Linked DNA regions of Schizosaccharomyces pombe. The main gene of each other region encodes a partner of the protein of the gene in region 3 in a complex. Each region holds a gene or a part of one and is shown on either strand. Other genes may lie near its edges.

The links. The genes of interacting proteins can lie anywhere in the genome.
Region 1: tif301 (region 3) and moe1 share a complex: the UniProt entries of both Schizosaccharomyces pombe proteins name them as parts of the eukaryotic translation initiation factor 3 (eIF-3) complex.
Region 2: tif301 (region 3) and sum1 share a complex: the UniProt entries of both Schizosaccharomyces pombe proteins name them as parts of the eukaryotic translation initiation factor 3 (eIF-3) complex.

The regions. Positions count from the first base shown.
Region 1 is NC_003424.3:4,549,010-4,556,023, reverse strand, and holds moe1 (translation initiation factor eIF3d), read right to left. Parts: upstream 4,185-7,014; 5' UTR 4,174-4,184; coding exon 2,470-4,173; 3' UTR 2,283-2,469; downstream 1-2,282. Other genes in the region: rex1 (putative ribonuclease H70), read right to left, coding at 1-601; Fe-sulfur cluster assembly ATPase Nbp35, read right to left, coding at 956-1,909; gmh5 (alpha-1,2-galactosyltransferase), read right to left, coding at 5,055-6,098. UniProt on the Schizosaccharomyces pombe protein: mRNA cap-binding component of the eukaryotic translation initiation factor 3 (eIF-3) complex, which is involved in protein synthesis of a specialized repertoire of mRNAs and, together with other initiation factors, stimulates binding of mRNA and methionyl-tRNAi to the 40S ribosome.
Region 2 is NC_003424.3:5,356,139-5,362,786, reverse strand, and holds sum1 (translation initiation factor eIF3i), read right to left. Parts: upstream 3,864-6,648; 5' UTR 3,832-3,863; coding exon 3,769-3,831; exon of another isoform or gene 3,714-3,768; coding exon 3,593-3,713; exon of another isoform or gene 3,237-3,592; coding exon 2,434-3,236; 3' UTR 2,283-2,433; downstream 1-2,282. Other genes in the region: protein Csi2, read left to right, coding at 1-879; met8 (siroheme synthase), read left to right, coding at 1,250-1,284, 1,456-2,215; rer2 (cis-prenyltransferase), read left to right, coding at 4,388-4,594, 4,707-4,966, 5,013-5,229, 5,285-5,395; F-box/WD repeat protein Pop2, read right to left, coding at 5,545-6,648. UniProt on the Schizosaccharomyces pombe protein: Component of the eukaryotic translation initiation factor 3 (eIF-3) complex, which is involved in protein synthesis of a specialized repertoire of mRNAs and, together with other initiation factors, stimulates binding of mRNA and methionyl-tRNAi to the 40S ribosome.
Region 3 is NC_003423.3:3,310,981-3,319,912, reverse strand, and holds tif301 (translation initiation factor eIF3a), read right to left. Parts: upstream 5,583-8,932; 5' UTR 5,576-5,582; coding exon 5,537-5,575; intron 5,492-5,536; coding exon 2,732-5,491; 3' UTR 2,461-2,731; downstream 1-2,460. Other genes in the region: proteasome regulatory subunit Rpn2, read left to right, coding at 1-30; DNA primase large subunit Spp2, read right to left, coding at 451-876, 920-1,511, 1,711-1,906, 1,965-2,130; histone acetyltransferase complex subunit Nto1, read left to right, coding at 7,033-8,932. UniProt on the Schizosaccharomyces pombe protein: RNA-binding component of the eukaryotic translation initiation factor 3 (eIF-3) complex, which is involved in protein synthesis of a specialized repertoire of mRNAs and, together with other initiation factors, stimulates binding of mRNA and methionyl-tRNAi to the 40S ribosome.

The DNA of each region.
Region 1 (7,014 bases), on a different chromosome or scaffold from region 3:
CATTACTCAGAGGAGATTGCAAAAAGGCATTCACCGGAGAAAAGACACGAAATCGATCTCCAGGAGATCTCGTAGGCCATGCGCGATCAAACACTTCACAAAAATCAGGTAATTGAATGGGGCCATTTTCATTTAGCAAATTCGGCAGCAAAAATGAGTGCTTGTTGCCGCGCACGGGTTGAAACCCAAATTGACTAGGCTCCAATCCAGGAACTAAAAGTATCACTGCTCTATGAATCATTTGTTTATTTCTCACTAGAACCCATGAAGGAGCCTGTCCATCAGCTAAACACCAGAATACAAGCTCTTGTAGGTCGCTAATTTTTAGGGGTTTTTGAAGATTGTTTTCCGTAGTTTGCAATCTAGGGTAATTTTCTTCATTTAGCGGTTGCTGAGATTTTTTTAACTTTTTCTTTTTCTTTTTTTTACTCTGAGAGTCGTCATTAGAGTCTGGTGAATCTTTCACTCCATCATTTGAACCATCCATACTTAGGTCTTCTTTTTTTCGCTTCACTTTCCTTTTTTCTCCGTGTGAAGCAACATTCTTTGACTTTTTTTCAATGGAGTCTTCTTGGGTTATCCCATCCTGAAGTTCACCCATGCTTGAGGATCCCATCTTTGACATTTTTTATTTTGGTGGTATCACTATGGTGGTCGGCTATTCCGCGGGCAATGCATCTTCAGATCCTCGGAATACTAATGTGCTTATGTTGATTGCGAGTTTTTATTTGAATTGCAGGCTTTAGCATTGTCTTGTATTATATCCATTAACTAAGGATTTCAAATTTCTTTTTAATCCAAAAAATGTCACAATGACTACATGTTTACTTTAAGTGCTCAATGAGGATATACAAGGAATATACTCAGAAGGTTCAATAAATATTTGAATAAACGTATTTTATATTATACAAAAAAATTGAAATTAAGCAGATTCCAACCTTTTTTTATATTTTTTTCATTGCCTTTTCTGTAAACTCTCATCAATTTTGTTAATAATATCAATGATAATTTCGGAAGCAGGCGATTCAGGACATTCATCAATAAAGCTTTTTCCAAAATCACATGAACGTGCAATCAATGGGTCCAAAGGAATTTTACCCAAGAATGGTAGTCCCATTTCTTTTGCTAACGCTTCACCTCCTCCTGTAGTAATAGTGAATATATTAGACTTGCCTTTGCAAGAAGGACATACAAAACCGCTCATGTTCTCCACTAATCCAAGGATAGGGATGGACGCCTTTCTGCAAAAATCTATTTCTTTACGGACGTCTTGAAGAGCAACCTCTTGAGGAGTAGTAACTACAACAGCACCATCAATTCCGGAATTTTTAAAAAATTGAACCAAAGATAAATGTTCATCGCTAGTTCCCGGAGGAGTATCAACAATCAAATAGTCTAAATTTTCCCAGTTAACGTCTTTGATGAATTGTTTGATCAGCCCGTTTTTTTTGGGCCCCCTCCATATAACAGATGAATCTTCGCTTGGTAATAAAAATCCAATTGACATAACAGCCAAGTTAGGGCATACATAAATAGGGGACCAGCCTTTGCTTGATTGATGGGCTTCCTCCTTTTCAACACCCATTATTCTCGGAATTGAAGGCCCGCAAATATCCACGTCCATTAACCCGATCTGCTTGTCTTCTTCAAGCGATAACCCCCATGCTAATTGCGAAGAGAATGTGGACTTTCCAACACCTCCTTTACCTGATAAAACAAGAATTTTGTGCTTGATTTCTTTCAAGCGTTCTACAACCAATGGTAAATCTGGATCTTCTCCACGAGGTGCTGAAGCGCAAATTTGTTGATTAGGGCATCCTTCACATGCTGATGCAGTTCCTGCATTTTCAGATGACGGTCCGGGGCAATGCTCTGGTGCATCTAAAGGAACAGTTTCTTGGATTTGCATAGAAAAGCCAATATTAAAGCAAATGCTTAGTAAAAGTCTTTATTTCACGTGCTTAGTGAACTTTTAGTAGCTATTTTTGTAAACCACGTATGGTAAATTATAAGTGTAATCCGGTGTAAATTCTCTTCAAACGAATTTTTGCTAAAAGCTTTACCTCTTGTTTTACCACAATATTCTGACTAAGCTTGAAACCGTTTTACGATCTCTTGGCTAGTGGCAATGAGCTATATCGGTTTTCTACTAATCGAGTTCTAATTTTTTTACCGTAATACCCTAAAGTGTGTTAAAAGCAATGTTCATGAAAAAAATCACGTTGGAAGCATCGAAAATCAGATATTTCCAAATGAATTAAACGGCACTTAATTTTCCTTCGCTTCATTTTTACTATTCCAACAAATACATTACTTTACACTTAGCTTCTAATTTACCGAGAAACAGTTCATAAGATTAAAAAATAAAGAAACCGAAAATATAAAACCGATTTAAAGATCTTAGATTTGCACATGTAATTGAGTATTATACATGTAACCTTTTTAATGAACTTTCTACATCCGTCCTTTTTAAGCAGTAGAAGAAGCTTCAAGGGAGGGTCCAGCAGCTTCTTCAAAAGTGTTGGGTGGAACAGAGTACAAGCGTAAAATAGGTCTGTTGGGATCCTTTACAAGGACATATTTTCCATCAGGCATTTTCAAACAGACATCTGCAATAGTACGAACAATACCCCAACCATTAGACAAACTTAAGTTCATTTGGGAAGCCAAATCAGCAGGCTTATAAGCTACAACACCCAAAATGCCGTGGTGCTGAGCGTCACGGGCATTTGAACGACTGACAAAACCAACCTTCATGCTATCAACACCAGCCAATAAAGCTTCGACAGTCCAACGGGCAAGCTTGCAACTATTGTTCTTCATTTCAGTGGCAAACACAGCACCTCTTTGACTTTCGAGCTTGGAACGCCAATCCACAGAACCAGTAACATTTGTAAATTTGGGATCGTACTCATTAAGAGCCTTGATAGAAATGTATTGAACATCGTTCGCAGGATTTTTAACATAACCGTCAACTTCGGTACGAACCATTAGCTTAACAGGCTTTTCGTCTGTCTCGAGAGAAAGATCAACATCCCGATAGATATAACCGTGAGCAGCCAATGGCTCACTTTCTTCCTTAGAATTATAGAAGGGATTGGGATGAGGTAATTTATATTTCTCTTCTTCGGTTTCACGTAAAGCTTGGACGCAGAAGTTTTGGTTAATGTACGTAGCTTCGACAGAAAGGGCTCCAGGAGAATTAACACCTTCGCGGTTGTCAGCGTCCATGGGAGAATCGTATGCGTTTTCATTGACAGTGAGATAATCAAAAGGTCCGCCTTCACGTTTGTCAAAGAATAGCTTTCCACTTTGGTGAGTAATTACAATATCCCAGGGATACACTGAGCGAGTTGAACACATCAATAAAGACAAAATGGAATCCGTAATGAAAATGTTAGCATCACTATTAAGAGCGAGTTTTTGGATAACGGGGTCTTCAGTAGTGGTAGGGTTGTAATGAACACGGTCCAAGGCTTGTAATGGTTTTTCTGATTTAACATGAATCTTGTCAAAAGATTTGTCATAAGGATAAATATAACCATATGAATCCACAGTAACAGGAGCAGCAGCAGCTAAATTGAGCTTAGATAAATGGCTGAACTCAACCTCGTCAAGAAGCTGCCAGTCGTCACCAACAGTAACACTGGCGTTGCGAAGACGTTGATGTTTATCATAATCCTTCCAACCAAACCGACGACCTCTTGCTCCTCCAGCGCCTGAGGATCTAGAAACCACTGTATCACCTGCACCTCTTCCACCAGAAGAACCGTAGCGACCGCCACGACCACCTCGTTGAACGTTTTGTCCTCTACCGCGAACCTTCAATAAAGTGCCGCCGTTGCGAGCGGAAGTGCGTGTACGATTGACAGAACCACGATCGATCACCGAGAAACTGGATTCGTCCTCCGAATGCTGATAACCAAAAATGGACGACGCGCCATAACCATAAGTTTGATATTGGTCACGGAAACGACCAGCAAATGCTCCTTGACGTCCACGTTGTTCACGTCCATCTTTAGGTTGATCAACAGACCAATCTGCAATTTTTCCAAGACGGTCACCTTTACTAAAAGGAGCATAAGGAATATCACCTCCTATCTGTTCCGTTTCAGGAGGTCCCCATGCTGATTTTACGGGTGCTAACTCAGGCAATTTAAATCCAGTTGCCATTTGGGAGTGGTGAAGTTTTCTTCGAAGTGGACGCCAGTATAGTGTGCAAACGAACTGGGAGACGCTAAAACACCAAAGCCAACAATGGTAATATTTGAAGTTCTAAAGCTTTATTTGTAATACAAAAGTACTTAAATGTAATATATATACTTTTTGGTTCGTGAAAAAGTTAAATGTTATACATTTCCTTTTGCAATCAAGGTGCTATATTTGTAGAAAAACTACATCTATTAACAATTAGTATATGTTACTGTATTTATCAAACTACTTCTTTATTTGTGAACCCACATGCCTATTCAGAAGACGATATGTGGAAATCTCAACCACTCACTACATTATAAAACTATAGTAGGTAGAATTACTTTATCATACTAGCAGGTTATATCAGCACTAAATGTTATTAAATTAAAAAATGGGAGAAATTGATATTGAAATAAAAGATATGTTATGCTATAATTTAAAACTGATTACGACATCAGACTTTGCCTTTATAGTCATTGTCTCAAGGCTTAAATGTTTCTGACAAAAGCATGTTTTAGAAAATTTTAATTTCGTCAACGCTGTCTTTTGAAGAAAGAAAAAAATGAACGCCAAGGTTCTCAGACATTCTCTCTTTTCTGTCATCACATGTCGCATAAAAAATATACACATCTAATCCTATTAAAACAATTGTTTGCGAAGAAATTAATGTATAAAAACGGAAAGCACCAAATATTAAGCAGTGTTAAATGACCGCAAAAGCTGCTAAGTAGCAAAGGAGAGAGTTTAGTGCATCACATGATAAAGGATCGCATTGACAGCCTAGCACACGCAAGGAAAAAGAATGATAAAGTATGAATTTAAAATATTAATAATAATGATGGAAATATGTGAGGTCTCTATTAAAGAAACGGAACTAACTTCCTCCAACCCCGTTTTCTTTGCGCTAATCCCTTATAATGATTTATTTCATCTAGGCAGTCCCTTCCATAATTACAGCCTGCCAAGTTTACCAAGAAGTCTCCTTCTTTTTGGTTATAAAAGAAACGAGGATTTTCACCTTCACCAGCACAAGCACCTGGAGGATATGAATTGAAAAGGCGAAGAGGAACGAATCCCATGCCGCTTCGAAGCCAAGCATTATTCTCGTAGAAGTACTCAATTGCATTTTGCTCATCGTGAGGCCAATCCATGTGCTTTTGCCCATAGACTACTGGATCCCAAAGGAAGTCCATCAATCTGCTAGTCCAATCACTTCGACGAACCAGAAAAGAACCCAAACTGAAACCGTTGCAATCTTGCCCTAAAATAAAGTTGATATCTTCACTATAGTCAACAAATGGAATTTCGTGGAAATTTTTTGGATTGAACTCCATGCTATCAGTAATATTCCTGGTCGCAATATGGTCAAGTCTGTTAATAATAAGCTTTTCAAGAGAATATTGAGGTTCCATGATGAATGTTGTTAAATCGACCCACCAAAACCATTCAGCATGAGGGTATTTCTTCATGGCTTCCATGATATAATCTGCTTTTTCCCAAGATTCACGCCATTCATGAGCATATCGTCTCTTTAAGCCTGTGCTCTTCACAAAGAAATGATATCCGTGCCTTTCAGCGTATTTCTTCTTGTTCTCCGTTGAAATCTTCTCCAGCTCCCATTGTCTGGGACTTTTTACATCTAAAACGCCACCTCCGATGTTATTGACAAATATCATAACAACATTACTCTCTTTGGGACGCGTCAAGAGTGTATGCTTTAAAAAGTAGCCTGAGCAGAGCAACAGTACCACAAAGACGAATAACCTATGTAGATGCGTCTTGGTAAAATACTTCCTTCTAGTATCACCTTCTTTGGAATCAAGTACATTGGAAGTGCCTGGCTTAGGGTAAGGAAAGGATTTAAACTTAGCTAATGCTTCTGACTTCTTTTTGGGGTTCCACATTTTTTAATATAATATAAGACTCGACGTTTACGTTAATTCTTCTTATTAACCTTTAAATTATATATTTTCGAATGATAATATGACTACGGCAATGCCGTTTGAGGTTTCACACAGAACTAGGCTGTTTGGCAAAGGCGAAAGTCGTGAGCAAGTAACGTCCCAGTGTATCAAAGCTGGCATAGCCTTGTCGTCGAGTAAATAGCCAAAGTACGCGATAACGTCGGTAAAGTTAAGTAGATTCTGATTGCATAATTTTATTTATTTGTTTACTCAAAAAGTTTTAGCACTTTTATTCTCGCGTTCATCTACTCAGATATGCTAAATAAATTAGCGATAGAAATTTTCCATAAAATATGTCAGTTGCAAAGACTCTGACAGATTTCTCATGGTTTGACGATGAAGGTATTTAGTTTAGTAAACAAATAATTATCAGCTACCAACTAATTTAACAATTCTGTTTTAGGAAAAGTGTAAACAACCATGAGAAGGAAACTTGGCAGCAACTCGAATTAAGGATTCGGCATGTAAAAAATTAGATATTGTTAAACAATCATTCTAATGTAACAATTGATAAAACATCACTGAAATTCTGTTAAATGAAACAATATTACTAATATTCGATTCAGCATTTAAGACATTTAATTAATCCTCGTTATTTGCCATCATGACAACACCGTGTTTCGTCGTATTTTCATACGCGCTATTATATATCGCTTGCAATGTTTATTCATTCATTCTATATTATAAGTGTTGAAAAATATTTAAATTTATTTATTTTTTAAACCAAAATTAAATTCAACTGGTATATATCGCTCTTGCTTCATTTTTCTTGTTTCATACGTGAGGAATCTATCGGTTTTACATAATTTTTTACGAATTAACGAAGTTCGTTATAGCATTTTACTATTAGTAAATA
Region 2 (6,648 bases), on a different chromosome or scaffold from region 3:
TTACACGAAAGTGTCAATCTTGATATTCTTTGTTTGAAAGATATATTACGGAACATTGCTCAAAGCTCTAAAGAAGCTATGTATATTGTAAAGCGACACAACTCATCACAGTCTTTTTATGGCAATAGATCGACCACCAATTTTTCAATCATAAACTCCGGTTTATATTTAAAAAAAGATGCTGCTAAAAATCTTTTGGCGAAGCAGTTTGATGCCACATATTCTTATTATCATAAAGACCTTGAGGAATCTGTTCATCAAAAACTCAATTCAAACTTAGAAAAAAGAGTTGAAAAATACATAAAACATTCTTGTTCCCAGAGAAATGTTGCTGATCACCCGGACTTTGCCTTGAAAGTTGTTGGTGCTGTCGTGGACTACGGATGGACATTTCCTAAGCCTAAATTTTCTGACATTTTAAGGGATTACTGGGGAAAAAAAGCAAATCTACCGACGGCTTTACTTGACACAAGCATCAATAGTAATTGGTGTAATTACGAAGATACTGTACAGGTTTCTGTGCGTTTAAATCGACCAATGTACGTGCGACATATTTCACTAATTTTTCCAATACATGGTGATGATTCTTATTTCCCGCGTGAAATCCAAATGTTTGGGCTTATCAATGATATCAATTATCAAATTTTAAGCAACATGAACAACTTGGTTTTGCTTGCCACGATTCCTGTTTCTTTGTCTTCGGTGTTCGAAGTAAATTATTACTATCTTCCAAAATTCTCGGACACACCTGGCCTTCTGGAAGAAGCTTATTTTAACACATTTGTGTTCAGGGCGTTTTCAAAAAATGAATCTTTGACGTCGCAAATTTGTTTATACCACATTGGTATACATGGTAAGGAGATTAATGAAGAATTTTAACGTCTTATTTAAATACGACTAAGTAGTCTAAGAGCCACTTTCATCTATTACTTTTGTATGGATATTTCTTGTCAATGAAAAAAATATATAAATTTAGCATATTAATTAATCTATGATGTATAGGAATATGCTTAGTTGGTGCTATGAAATAGTTTCAAAAATTTGCACGTCCTCGGGATTTTATTCACAAGGTAGTTTTAATTCACTGGAAAATTTAGGTCTTAAATAAACGAATAGTATACGCGTAATAGGATTCCCAACTATTAACCCGTATAGGGAAGCAGATACTGAATGTCGAATTGTAATTGGCGATACTATAATTCTCAAGTATACAGGAACACCTACACTTGGTTAAGATAAAATTTGAATAATGGCTTCAAAATATCAGTCTGTGCAGCCTGGTGGGTAAGTCAAGCATCTTTATGAAGTTACAAGGCTCTATAAATCATTTTCAGCTTTTTAGTATCTTAACTTTCATCTACACAGAATTGAAAAATTAGCAAAGCATACAAAATGAAAGCTAGCAAAGTTTTTTGATGTATCTCAAGGTAATTTTTAGGCTAATCTAAGCTTTAGATCATTAATTATTGCTTGGCGTGCACAAGGTAAAAAAGTATTAATTGTTGGAGGTGGCGTTGTGGCAGCTGGGCGTATATTGCATGTTTTGAATGCGGATGCCCATGTTATCGTTGTAAGTCCAAAAGCTGGTCTTTGTAAAGAAGTGGCTTGGAGAATACAGGAGAAGCAAGTTGAATGGCGAGACAGGGGATTTCTAGTCGAAGATTTGTCTGACGATGTAAACATGGTACTTACAGCCATAGATGATCCCAGCTTGTCTTCCGAAATTTATAAGTTATGCAAAAGCAAAAAAATCCCGGTCAATGCGGCGGATATTCCACCTGAATGTGATTTCTACTTTGGGTCTGAAATCCGTAACGGCCCTCTACAAATTATGGTTAGCACCAATGGTAAAGGTCCAAAACTTGCCAGTTTAATACGAAAAAAAATCGAAAGTTCAATCAATCCAGCTACTGGTATGGCATTGGAAAAAACTGGCCTTTTACGACAAAAATTACGAGACATTGTTCCCGAACCTGAAAACAGTCGCAAAAGAATGAGATGGATGATTGAGATTTGCGAACTGTGGTCTTTGGAGGAACTTGCCATGCTCGACGAAAATCTCATCAACCGACTTTTGGGATACTTCCCAAAAAAAACACCTAGTTATCGAGAAATAACGACTCCAGCCTACAGCAAGATAGACAACTACATATGGTTTGGAGCAATTATAATTTCTGGGGCTGTTCTCCTCAAACATGTTTCAAAAGCTCGTTAAAAGAAGCGTTTGATAAGTTAGTTGCTTTACGGAATATGACAATTACATTACTTTTCACTTTAAAACATTTGAATTTTGAATGGAATTTATTAAAAAACTCTTGTACTCATAGAAGGTTATTTTTCATATAATGCTCCCTAAACGAAAATGATACATCTTTGGAAAAAAGTTCCGTTGTCCATTACTATACTATCAACAGTTTTTTGAATAAAATTAACCTACAATGTATACTTGAAGTCAAAGTAGTTTTTATCGAAGAAGTGCACCCGAACATAACCATCTTCTCCACCACTAGCATAACCGGTTCCTTTGGGATGGACAGCTATTGTGTTGATAGGACCGAAATGACCCTTAACGCGGCCTAACTCTTCTTCTAAAATCGCATGATAAAAACGTGCTTCAAATTTACCCTGTCTAGCAGCAGTAGTAGTAACATCACGGGCTTCTTGACCACCTCCTAAAATAACGAAGTCTTGGACAGGAGTAAAACTAGAAGTATTAAGAGGCGTATCAGTAAGGTATGTTTTGATGACTTCAAAAGAATCAACATCAATAGCTTTAGCAGTCGTATCCTTGCAAGAAGTGATGAAGTAAGTACGATCAGGATAAAACTGAAGATCAGTAATAGTAGAACCAGAATTATGAACTTGTTTAGATTCAACGAATTCTCCGGTTATAGCATCGTATCTGGAAACGGAGCCATCTTCATGACCAGTAAAGAGAAACTTGCTCAAGTAAGACCATCCAGCGACCGTTGCTTTAGATTCACGAGTAGTAATAACGTAAAGGGGGGTTTCAGCAGCGGCATCGCTTTCCGAAATAGGAACACGGAAAACAGTGACGGTACCAGCATAACCCATACGTTCCTCGGTAACAGCAAGAATACGGGTATCATCTTCGTTGAACTCAACACGTTTGACAGCAGTAGGAAATTCCCACTTGTACAACTGCTTTCCTGTTTTAACATCCCAAAGACGCATGGTATTGTCAGCGGCTCCACTAACCATTAAAGTGCTACTTTCTGTTTCAGTTAGTAACCATTGGAAAAGGAACAGATGATCTAGTTGGATTTGAGGCATCAAGAAGAAGGAAAAGGATTTAAAAGAAGTTTAAATGCTTTCCACGAGGAAGTGAAGTGAGGTAAACGTAGCATTAATATAAGTAAAGGAGATGCACCATGCATATTTAACTTTAAGTACTACGCCAACTCAGAATCGTGGATCACGAGTATAACCATCTGCAATCGGACGACTAATAAAAAAAATACATTTATTAGAGTCATGATATGTTTCATTATTCGTGTTTCCTTATACTTCCATAATCCGTATACCTTTAGATGTCTTAATCCAACATACATCACCACCAATTTTCACGTACTATTAATATCACAAGTCCAAATTGCACCAGTATGACCCTCATATGTACCTAGGCGTTCACCATTGTGTGAAAACCAGACATTAATCACTTTATCCTTGGCACATGAGAATAATAAATCACCCTACACACAAAAATTAGTAAATTTTCCACATATAATGGACGGTTATTAAACCTACATCGTGATTATATTTTATTTGAGTCAAAGGACGCTCATGACCCTGTAAAATGATAGGCCTCATCTTTTGAACAGGAAAGTGCTGGTAGAGGGTTTGAGCGAAAAGTCTTTAGTTGTAATATTTTGATTCTAATTAGCGTAACTTAAGGATGGTATTAAAAATAAGGAGGCTTAACGACACTCTTAAATGAACTGGCTTCATTTCTGAGACACTTGCGTTAGACTAGTTAGACCCAAAGGTCGCACGTCTCACTTTGAAAACAGTATTTTGTGGTTTTGTTTGAATTTTGTCTGTCTTACTTATTTGTACAAAAAATAATATTTCTTTCGTGATTTTTAAAAAAAAATACAAAAGCGTTTGGTCTTAAACTAGCGTCTCTTTGTTCCATTCGTTTACGATTGAAAGTATATTTCCTTAGCTAAAAATCCTTTTCTAGCGTGCTTGGTAATTATACTTATAAAACATATCTAGAACCGGATAACCTGAGTGTTTTATAGAAGCGTCAAAAACATCTAATCGTTTTTTGAAAATAATTGTTTATCAAGATAATTATTTCTCTTTGATATTTAGCGTGCATTTATAAAGGAAAAGAAAAGAATTGACAAAATATCTTGACAATATGGGTAATTTATCAGGCTGGTTTATTCACTGTCCTCCATTACAATGGACACTTGATCAATTAGAAACGATGATGATAAATACAATTAAACGTGGCAAAGTACCACAACACATAGCCTTTGTAATGGATGGCAATCGACGGTGGGCTCGTCAAAGAAGGATGGAAACTATCGAGGGTCATAGCTCAGGTTTTGAAGCTTTAAAATCTGTAAGTTTAAAGAACATTAATAGAAGGTTAAACGTACCGTTTCTCCATGTTTTGCGCATTGGTATCCGTCTACGTTCTGCACAATTTGGTACATTAACTAACCCTGCGTAAGCTATTAAAAGTGTGTCTGAAGTTAGGAGTTAAAGAAGTATCGGCTTTCACATTCTCCATTGAAAATTTTAAGCGATCTAAATATGAAGTTGATATGTTAATGGAGATTGCAAAAAACAGCTTAACGCAAATTACTGCTCATGGTGATTTGGTTGATCAGTATGGGATCCGTATTCGCATTGTTGGCGATCTTAGCAGGTTGCAACCTGACGTTTTAGAAACTGCTCTAAAGGCTGTGGAAATTACAAAACATAACACAAAGTATGTGAAATTTTTCAAATTTTTATTTTGCTAATTGACATCTTAGGGCAACATTAAATGTTTGCTTTCCATACACTTCTCGACATGAAATTGCTACTTCTGTGCAATCAATAGTAAAAATGGCAGAAGATGGTACAATCACTCCAGAAGATATAGATGAAGATATATTTGAAAAAAACCTATTGATAAAAGATAGTCTTCCTTTAGACTTGTTGATTCGCACTAGCGGTGTGGAGCGTCTATCTGATTTTATGTTATGGCAGGTAAGTAAAAATTCTCCTAATTTTCTAGTCAAAGATATTCAACTAATTTTATCAGTGTCACAAAAATACGGAGATAAAATTCATCGATTTCTACTGGCCGGATTTTTCTATCTGGAAGTTTTTCCCAATGTTAATTCAATACCAGTTACAAAACCAACCAGCATAATTTATTCAATCCTTCGTTACTTATTTACTTTTGATAGGCTTTGGCTGTTAATTTTACATTGTATACATTTAATATGTGTTAGTAGCTGATGTAAATAGTTAGACACTACTCTAATTATGTCTTCTTAAATATTGTTAAAATGAAACTTTCTACGGTCTTGATCCGGAAAAATTAATAACTTCCAAATATGCTTGATCATCACGCTGCACTGCAGCCACACAACGCATAGCATCAAAATCGACATGCCATATTTTTGTGAGGTCTGTTAATAGAAAACGTAACAGCTTTCCAGTCCTAACATCCCATAACTTTACAGAACCATCATTACCACTAATAATTTTGTGTTCATCTGACACAAAGCTACTAATGTAGCCTGAATTAGACGGCAAAACCATTAATGGTTTCCCAGTATTCAAATCCCATATTCTAATTGTGGAGTCAGCAGAACCTGATATCAACCTATTCTGGAATACATTAAGAAGCGTAACAAAGGCATCATGGCCTTCAAGCACATATTTACAAGTCCCTGTCGATAAATCCCAAACCCTAATGGACTTATCCATGCTACCGCTTATGCAAATATTCCTTTCTGGTTCATATAAAACACTATATATACGAAGACTATGACCCCGCAGATGGTAAAGACATTCCCCTGTTGAAACTCTCCAAATGCGAATTGAAGAATCATAACTCCCACTCACAAGTATATCACCATAGCCGGATATAGTTCGTACAGAGTCTGTATGTCCTATCAAAGTATGTACAAAATACGGGTTCTTCTCCCAACGGTCAATAGAGTTTGTATTATCTGGAAGATAAGGAGGATCCGTGTTTTTTGGAAGCTTCCAAACCCGAAGTGTATGATCCCGAGAGCCGCTGACAATGTACGGTTGATCTGGTTCAACAATTTCAACTCCATGGCGAATAAGACGACTCGGAACTAAGATCTCTAAGCATCTGATGATGGAAATATGTCCCCTAAATATGTGCGTACATTTAGCTTTCTCTATGTTCCAAACGCGAACAGTTTTATCGATCGAACCAGATACAAGTGTATTCTCATGTATTTTGACAGCCCAAACACCTTCTTTATGACCCTCTAATCGAGCTTCTAAAACACCGGTAATAGCATTATGAATTTGAATTGTTCCAGATCCCGAAGTGGTGATTATTCTGTCTTTATGAAGTAGTAAAGAAGTTATCATAAAGTTTGGAACATGAATGGGAAAAGATAGATGACTTGGAGGTATCGA
Region 3 (8,932 bases):
TTTGAATACCCATTTGATGATGATGATTAGATTCCCAGAAGTACATCCTGCTAGTCTCAAAAAACCATATACGTTTGTAAGAACATCTTGATTGTTACTTGCATCTCTTCAGATTAAATACAAACGTTTTCATATGTTAATAGACTTGTAGTTTGAAGTTAACGTATTTATTCTACGGAACTGAGTGTTCGGAAGATTGCTAGACAATTTCATTTTGATGATAAATTTAAAAAGTTTTCAATTACGTTTTTTAAATTAAATATCATGTTTTTTACGTTGATTTGGTATTATTGCCTTTTATTAGTAACAATGCTTATTCATCTATATAACCAGCCTGCCGGTAATTAGATTTTTGAATTATAGCTATGAAATGTATTTTGAAAGTGTTCAATACCTATTGTACAAAAATTGAAATGTGTTATGATAATCGTGAACTAAAAGTATCTTAGCTTATGATTCTAAACTAAGTTGAAAATATTGTAAGGGATGGTGAATGCTCTCCTCCAGCGAACCGACATTTGGATGAGTAAGCTCAAAAACACGCGTACACGCAATATGATAATGCCTCGCTTTAACTGCCTCAACAACTTCACGGCATCCGGCAGAATCCGGTGCTATTCCCATGGAAGCCAATGCTGACACTAGATTATTTACTGAATATGTACGATAAGGACAACCGTGGGCATCTCCAGGACCAAGTTGAGGCCCTGTAAGGATCTGCTGGCAATTATAACCCTTGTAATTTTTCCTATTTCCTTCAAGTCCATAAGTATGTCTAATATTGTAGCGATATTCTTTGTTAAATTTGTCTTCTGTTACATTTGTAAAACTTTTCCTCCAAAAGACCAAAGCTTCGTCGACAGAAAGGCCAATATCCTGAAAAATTAGTAAATTACTACATAAAAAATAAGTTTCATACTTTTAAAAATAGCCCATATTGAAGACGGCCAAAATGCCGTAGATGCTTATCACGCTTAAGTACTTCATGTAAATGTTTGGCGCATAATGGAAAATGTGAAACAAAACTGTCTACTTGTCCAGCAGTAATAGCACCAGATTTAGGAGCAACTATTGAACTCTCGGGAGCAACGAATCCTTTACTCAAATGGTTGAGAATTGGCAAAAGACGATCGTCTTCATCAAGCCTAGGAAGAGATTTTGCGGTAGACTCAAGCGCTTTTTTTAAGTTTTCTTCAAACTCTTCAACAACTAGACTTACTTGTTCCGAAAATGGTACGTAAGCGTATCCCTTGTGAACGAAAACAGCCCTTCGTTCTACTAAATCCGGAACTTTAAAAAAAGGTACTTTGAAGAAAGATTCGTTTTCTATATTTCTTTGAGAAGAAGCCTGTAGCTTTTCATAAAAAACGTCTTTTTCTTCTTGTGAAACAGATTCCCATTGAAAATCAAGACTATCTATAAACGCTTGACGTTCTCGGGTTTCCTCATTCACAAATCGAAACCGAAATAACGTGGATTCAGCTCTTAAAAACCTGATTCGTAATTCATCACTAATGAATGCGTTAGGAAAAGAATAAAAGCAAGTTTAAATGTATTCATATATATAATGCTTTCTGTTTAACTGAAGCAGCAAATTGATACCCACTTTATGTTCAATTTACTACTTATGCCATAACGCGAACGCATTTATAAGTCTAAATGAGATATTTTTCGACAGACAGCACTCAAATATAGCACATTTTTACTTACGATCTGCTGAAAGCCAGGCGCAGAATGAAATGAGAATAATGATCTTTCCTTCTTTCTTCATCTAAGGAGTTTCCTTTTACAGTCCTAGCCATGTTGCTACTCATCGGCAGACGTTTATCCAGTATCTTTTTTATAATCCCGTTCAATTCATTTTTCGTCTTATTGCGGAGCATTGCTGACTCAATTTCACCCAAAACTAAATAGTTAGCTTACTCCAAAAGAATAGAAAATAATAAAGAAAATGGAAAGCATACCAACTAATCGGTCTATTGCCCATGTTTCAAACTCTTCAATGCTTATTTCAGAGACAGGAGGTTTCTTATAAAAATTAAGTCGCGTAGGATAACTTAAACTCTCAAAACTAGCACTAGAAAAATTTTGATTCTTTTCAACTACTCGACTTTTGGTCGTTCTGAACATGGTGGTTAGCGAAGAGTCTATTTGCGGTAACAAATTGTCGTGCCTCTCACCAAGAAACCTTTTTACTTTGAGTGTCTTTAAACAAATATTTTAAGCTGCTTAACCTTTTTGGTACTAATACAAAACACGTTGCTAATAATTAATGAATTATTTCTTCACTCGTTGTATTCAGAATTATTGAAATGAGAAATGCATACTACAGAAACGTCAACTGTAAAAACTCATCGTCGCTTATAAACTTGACATGTAACATCTTTATTCGATTAGTATCGTTCTACATTTACAATTAACAAGTCAAGCTTTAAGCAGTATTATACAAATTAAAAAAAGTTCAAAGGTTAACGATAATTATCTATTAAATAGAGCTACAAAAGGCTCTTTTTATACACATAACCGCTTTCATGAATTCCAATAGCATGAAAGTAACCAACTACCCTTGTAAGAAAAAGGAACTTACAACTTTCAATAGGAGAACACATTAGTTCATTTAAATTTATCAGCTGTGACATTAGATAATGCATCGTAAAGACTTGACTCCAATATCCAATTGCGACAATAATTAATTGTCGACAGGTTTATTTTCTTATAGACAGTAGGTTTACTACTGTTGTTGTTGATTACGTCTGCTTGGTGGAACATATGCTCCCTTAGAAGGAGCAAGGGTCTCACGAGGAGGAACAGAACCACGAGAGTAGCCACCACGAGAATACCTTGGAGAGTCTCGTGAAACACCGCCAGCACTAGCACCGCCGCGCCTCCAAGCACCAGGACTAGGTGAAGATGCGCCAATATTTGCTCTTCTAGCAGCTGCTTTCTCGGCAAGCTTACGAGATATTTCTTCATCACGCTCTTGCTGAATACGTCTTTGGCGTTCCAATTTCTCAGCCATTTCGCGCTGTTCGCGTTCTTTAGCTTCTCTAGCTGCACGAGTTCTTTCCTCGATAGCACGTTTTTGAGCTTCTTCTTGCTCATGAAGCTCACGGTTTGCCTCTTCCTCAGCAGCACGAGCAGCCTCCTCTTCAGCTTCGCGAATAGCCTCAGCCAATTTTTGTTCGAAAATTTCTTTACGTTGCCTTTCGCGCTCTGCATCAATGACATTTTTAGCTTTGGCGTATGCCTCCTGATATGCTTTATCACGTTCATCGTCAATATTTTGCTTATAGGCATGAATATAGGAAGCAAATTGAGCAAAAGCCTTTTTGTCTTTAATGGCTTGTTCATGCTTACGCTCTTGTACTTCCTTGCGTTGTTTCTCCCTCTCGTAAAAGATTTCGCGGTCATGTTCGGCTTGTTGTTTTGCGTCTTCTTCCCACAATGGGATAGCTTCACGACGATAAGCACGTTCCAAATGGTCGATACGCTTTCCAATAACACGCAAACGTTCGTTCATACTCTTATTTTGCTTTTCGACTTGTTCGATTTGCATAGCTCTCAATTTATCAGCATCCAAATGCTCCAAGTCTTCGGCATTGACTTCCAATCCACCCTTAGCTTTGAGCTCCTCGGCCAACTTTTTAGCTTCGTTAATGCGAATAGCTTCCTTCTCACGACGAATCCTTTCAGCATTACGTTTATTAATTTCTTCTTGAACGCGGAGAGACTCGGCTTCAGATTCTTGCTTTTGTTTGAGAGCGCGTTGAGCAGCAAGCTCAGCTTCACGTTGAGTAGCAAGTGTATCAGCCTGTCCACGACGTAATTCGAGAAGACTACGCTGAGCAATGACCGCTTTACGCTCCTGTTCAACACCAGCCTGAGCCCTTTCGTAGGCAGCCTCGGCTTGTTGCTTGCGTAAAAGGCAGAAATCGGTATCAAAACGCATCAAAACACTAGAAAGGGATTTGGCAATCCGCGTAAGTTGAGATGTAATTAATTCAGATGGAGTAGATTGAAGAGAAACAGAATCCGAAGACTTAATGGGATTAGAAAACAAGTCAGAAGAAAAGCTAATGGAATTTTCAATATGGTTCAAACGAATAGAAAATGCACCTTTCTTGTTACCATTCATAATGAATTTCTCAATTTGACCAGGGTTAAAATCGTAAGGCTCCTCGAATGTAGCAAGGTCCATAACATATTTCAATGAAATGGAATCATAAACTTGAGACAGTTGTTGGAAAAGACGAGTAAGAATAACCTGTTGTAAAGGACGAATGTATTGAGCAGTATCATTACTTTCTGCCAATCTTTTGATGATAGGCTGAAGTTTTTTGCAAATGCTCAATGGATGAAACTCAACTTCCAAAATCTGGTACAAATCACGGATAGCCTGATCACAGAAAGAAAGAACGCCACGAGAAATGGCATCCTTAATTAATGTTTCACGCGTAGGTGTTTTCGATAAGTTTAACAAAAGAGCCAAACGAGCATTCTTGCTCTTGGCATCTTCTGCCTCAATGGAAGGGCCCGATAATTTGTTGGCATCAATAATAGGGATAGAGAGAGCGCTTAAAATTACAAAATTAGCAGTAGCGGGTTTTTGCACATTTGTAAATGTGAAGTACCTATTCCAAGCTGCAGCATGAAGCAAATAATTATCACAAACCAAAAAGATTTTAATCAATTTACGGTAATAATTGCCAAGCATGACTGCAGCAGGAGCCCTCTTAGAGAACGTAAGCAAGCTGTGAATGTCTTCAATGGATCGGAAAGCTTCCTGCCAGAGTTCAAGCTCAACAGCAACGTTTAGCTGAGAGAAACGCATGTCCAGATGACGCTGCATAGTTTCAGCATCATTCAAGTTAATAGAGTGTGGAGCGTTTGAAAATTTAGAAGCATTGCCAAGATGGGACCGAAGGAGTTCACATAGACGGCGAAATTCGGTTTTACGCTGATACTTGAGGCAAAATTGGAATGCAGAGTTAGCAATTAACTGATACATTACTTCTAAACGAGCATTATTACGCAAAATATCAAGAACTGTACGATAAGCATCCCACAAAAATTTCAACCATGGAGTGACCAAAGCACGGTCTGTGCGGCTCTTGGAAAGGTCTCCCGAAACCAAAGACATCATGATGCTCTCGGGAGTTTCAGTAGCCTCAAGATCGTCAACATATTCAACTGATATCTTGTCTGCCTTCTCCTGAGCTTCTTGAACTCTTTTATTAGCAAGTTCAATAAAATGCTTGACTACATTCTCAATAGCGGTAACTGAGGTGTTTTGAACTGCGTTCTTGTAGGTGTACAAGCCTTCCTTTGCAATTTTTCCTTTGCGTAAATGAACACAAAGTTCGATGAAACGCATCATAATAGGCTCGAGAGAAAACCCCTGCGCGTTTCTTGATCTTTTCAAAACTATAGTCTCATGAAGAGATTGCAGTGCTGAGCTGTGCTGATCTAGAGCTATCAGCTCATCGGCAAGCTAATTTATGTTAGTCAAAGTAAGTAAAAAACTCATAATACATACCCTTAGCACATTTTCGGGCTTTCCTTGAGGAGGTGCCATGTTGTGCAGTTGAAAACTTCCCCCTTGTCGTAGTAAAATTTTATTACACGAATAGCGAGCTACCTCGCAGTTTTATATAAGCCACTAAACAAGAGGTACTTAATTCTTGATTTTGCAAAAAAAAATGTTAGCACATGCATATATATATAGTTAGTTGTTCATATCTTTCTTAGGTTTGACTTGAATAAGCATCACTTTTTGTGCAAAGAAATTAGTGGTTTACCGAATACGATAATATGACTAAATTTGAATAGATCGCCTAGTGTGAAGTGCTAACATACTCGTTAATCTATCATGTTTGTTTAAAAAATACCAGTTCAGTTTAGAACAGAGGAAAGCTCTATTTTTGCTTTTATTTGAACGTTTATGGGATAGTAGTCAGATTTTTCTGTTGCCGCTACTAATTACTATCGTTACACAATGTACATCCAAGAAATATTAGTACCGTTATAGTTTTGGAATTTTAGCCGTAGATCTGTTTCTACGCTAATCACCAAGTCCATTCTTTGTTTGATGTATTTGGTGATAAAACTAGTTAGTTCTTAAAATAATCTTTATTGCCGTTGAGTCGATACTCGCTTGAGTTCCTCATCAGGGCTTATGCATTGTTTTATACTTGTAGCATTGTCTAAACTCTTATTTACAATTGGCAACAAACTTATATAAACGTTGAGACCTTACCAGTGAAAGAAGTGTGGTTTGAGCGAAATATTTTCCGAGCCAATCTAAAATTTAAAGTGTTATCCTTGAAAAGTAGCAGAAACTCGCATTACTTTTACTCAAAGCTTGAATAAAGGAAGAAAGATTTAGCGAATATAGTTTGTCAAAGTATTATAATAAAGAGGTCATAACCCTATGTATTCCGAAAGATTTTTTTGTTAAAAAACGCTAAGTCCTCAATCTCTTCGACGCTAGGTAAACTCTAGAGGCCCATTTTGATGAAGCAATTTAATTGTGATTGGTGTAAATGTTAGACTTCTAGAAGAATAAACTAAGTGAAGTATTCGTTGATGGCGGGTACAAAAATATTAGCTTATAAACTATTCACAAAGATTCTTGAAAGGGCTTTTTATCAAGCATCTCGAAAATCTTTGTACTTTCACATCAACTGTATATAATTGTAACTCTTACATTTCCGTAAAATGCAAAATCACGCTTTCCAATTTCCTCTGGTTTTCTTTGAAAACAACACCAATAAATATAAAAAGAGAAAGAACGGGAAGAATAAATTTACCCCTTCCTATGTCCAAACTATTTTCATTTCAGAGTTCAACTGTTTACAATCATCTTTTTATTTCGGTCATTCACGTTACCCCCGCTTATTCTGCTTAATCATCAGCGGCAGAATGCACTATTGAAGTTTAAGCAAAATTGCACCTTTTTCTCGTAAATATAGTTACACCATGAAAGAAATGTAAAAAAGATAGTATGGTAAATCTATCTTGTAAAAGGCTTTCATGCAAACCTTCCGACTTACTTCTACTGGTCGAAATATTCTAAGACCCGATGAACTTGCTTTTCAGCCGAGAGAAGAGATTCCCTATAAATCTTTCCATCCAGACCTACAAATAGACGAACCTTTGGAAATATTAGAAGGTGACCATACACAATATGCAGGCCTTCGTGATTCTTTAGTAACCTATAAATCCGAGAATTCTTATGTGCTTAAAGCTTTGCTCAATGCCAAGATCGAAAACGTAAAGCCAGTAGGTGTTCAAACGGAAAATATTAATCCACAAGAGAAAAAATTTGGATATAAAACTGCGAAACAATTAGATTGGAGTCCAGACGAATATTTCAAGTTCGTTGCTATACATCCTTACTCAAAAACGTCCTTTCCTGTATCCTACGACTTGGATGAGTTAGACACAATGTGGTTAACATATTATAATGAGTTTCAACTTTCATCTAATTCAGAGTGGGAAAATGTTTCTAAAGAATTTTTAGAAATAGTTCTTACCATTATTGAACGCGAATGGCTTTATCTAGAGGCTTGGATGCCTAAGATTGAACCCGTCAGAGTGGAGGATGAACTAGATGGTCGTTGTGTTATTTGTAATGAAGCAGAATGCGAAAACAGTAATGCTATAGTTTTTTGCGATAACTGTAACACTTCTGTTCACCAGAATTGTTATGGAATCCCTTTTGTTCCAGAGGGTCAATGGTTTTGTAAGAAATGTTTACTAGCCCCTCATGAAGTTATATGCTGTGCTTTTTGTCCTGACAGAGATGGTGCGTTTTGCACAACCTTGGATGGACGTTGGTGCCACACAATTTGCGCCATAGCAATCCCTGAAATATCTTTTCACGACACTAGTAGATTAGACTTGGTTCGAAACATTGCTTCAATCCCAAAGTCTCGCTGGAAATTGGTGTGTTGCATTTGTAAACTTCGATGGGGTACTTGTGTGCAATGCTCAGATAAAAATTGTTATGCAGCTTACCATATAACTTGTGCTCGACGTGCAGGTTTTTTTTACAAAATATACTCACATTCTGCAAGTTATGATAGTGTTGATATGGAAACTTATTGTGATAAACATACTCCACCCGATTATTTAAACGGATTGATGAAGCGCTTGTTTCCGTTAGCTGAATTATATTACAAACGCATGGCTACAGACGTTCCACTCAACTTCCAAGCTACTAAAGCGCCTGATTTTGTGCCCGAAGGGCCATGGAAATCGCATCCATTACCGGCTTTTATTGTTGATAAAGTTACCAAAGTTTTATTGTCTTATAATGTTAAAAGGCAAGATCTGCCCTCCATAGTAACTGACATCTGCAAATTTTATCACATGAAACGCCGATCCCGAAAGGATGCGCCATTGCTTAAATCGCAACTCCTTATGGATAGTCTTGAAAATCTCCCGGTGAGGGCTTCTAAAGATCGCGTTAGGTCTTTAGAAGTAGCGAAGGCTCTACAAGATCAATATCAATCATTGCTTACTCTTGTAGAATCTACTGCTAAACGGCAATTATTAAAATGTCAATTATCAAACTTAAGAAAAAAATTTTTGAATTTAAACTATTTTCCTGCTCAACGGTTATTACAGGATACCCTTGTTAAAATTATAGATCTCGATGTCGATGGTCTTTTCAATATGCCGCTCGATAATGGATGGATTGGGTGGGTTGAATTAAAAAGACAAGTATTCAGTTATCAGATCGGCAGTATTAGCTCTCTAGAAAAGAAACTTGAGCCTATTTGGGATGTTGATGGTGTAATACAGTGTATTGATGATATGGAACAATTAACTGCCATGGTTCAGTTTGCACAAAAAACAGAAGGAGAAGTGAAAAAACTATTTATTAAGGCAAAAATATACTTTGAAAGTTTGAGTCTTGATGAAAGAG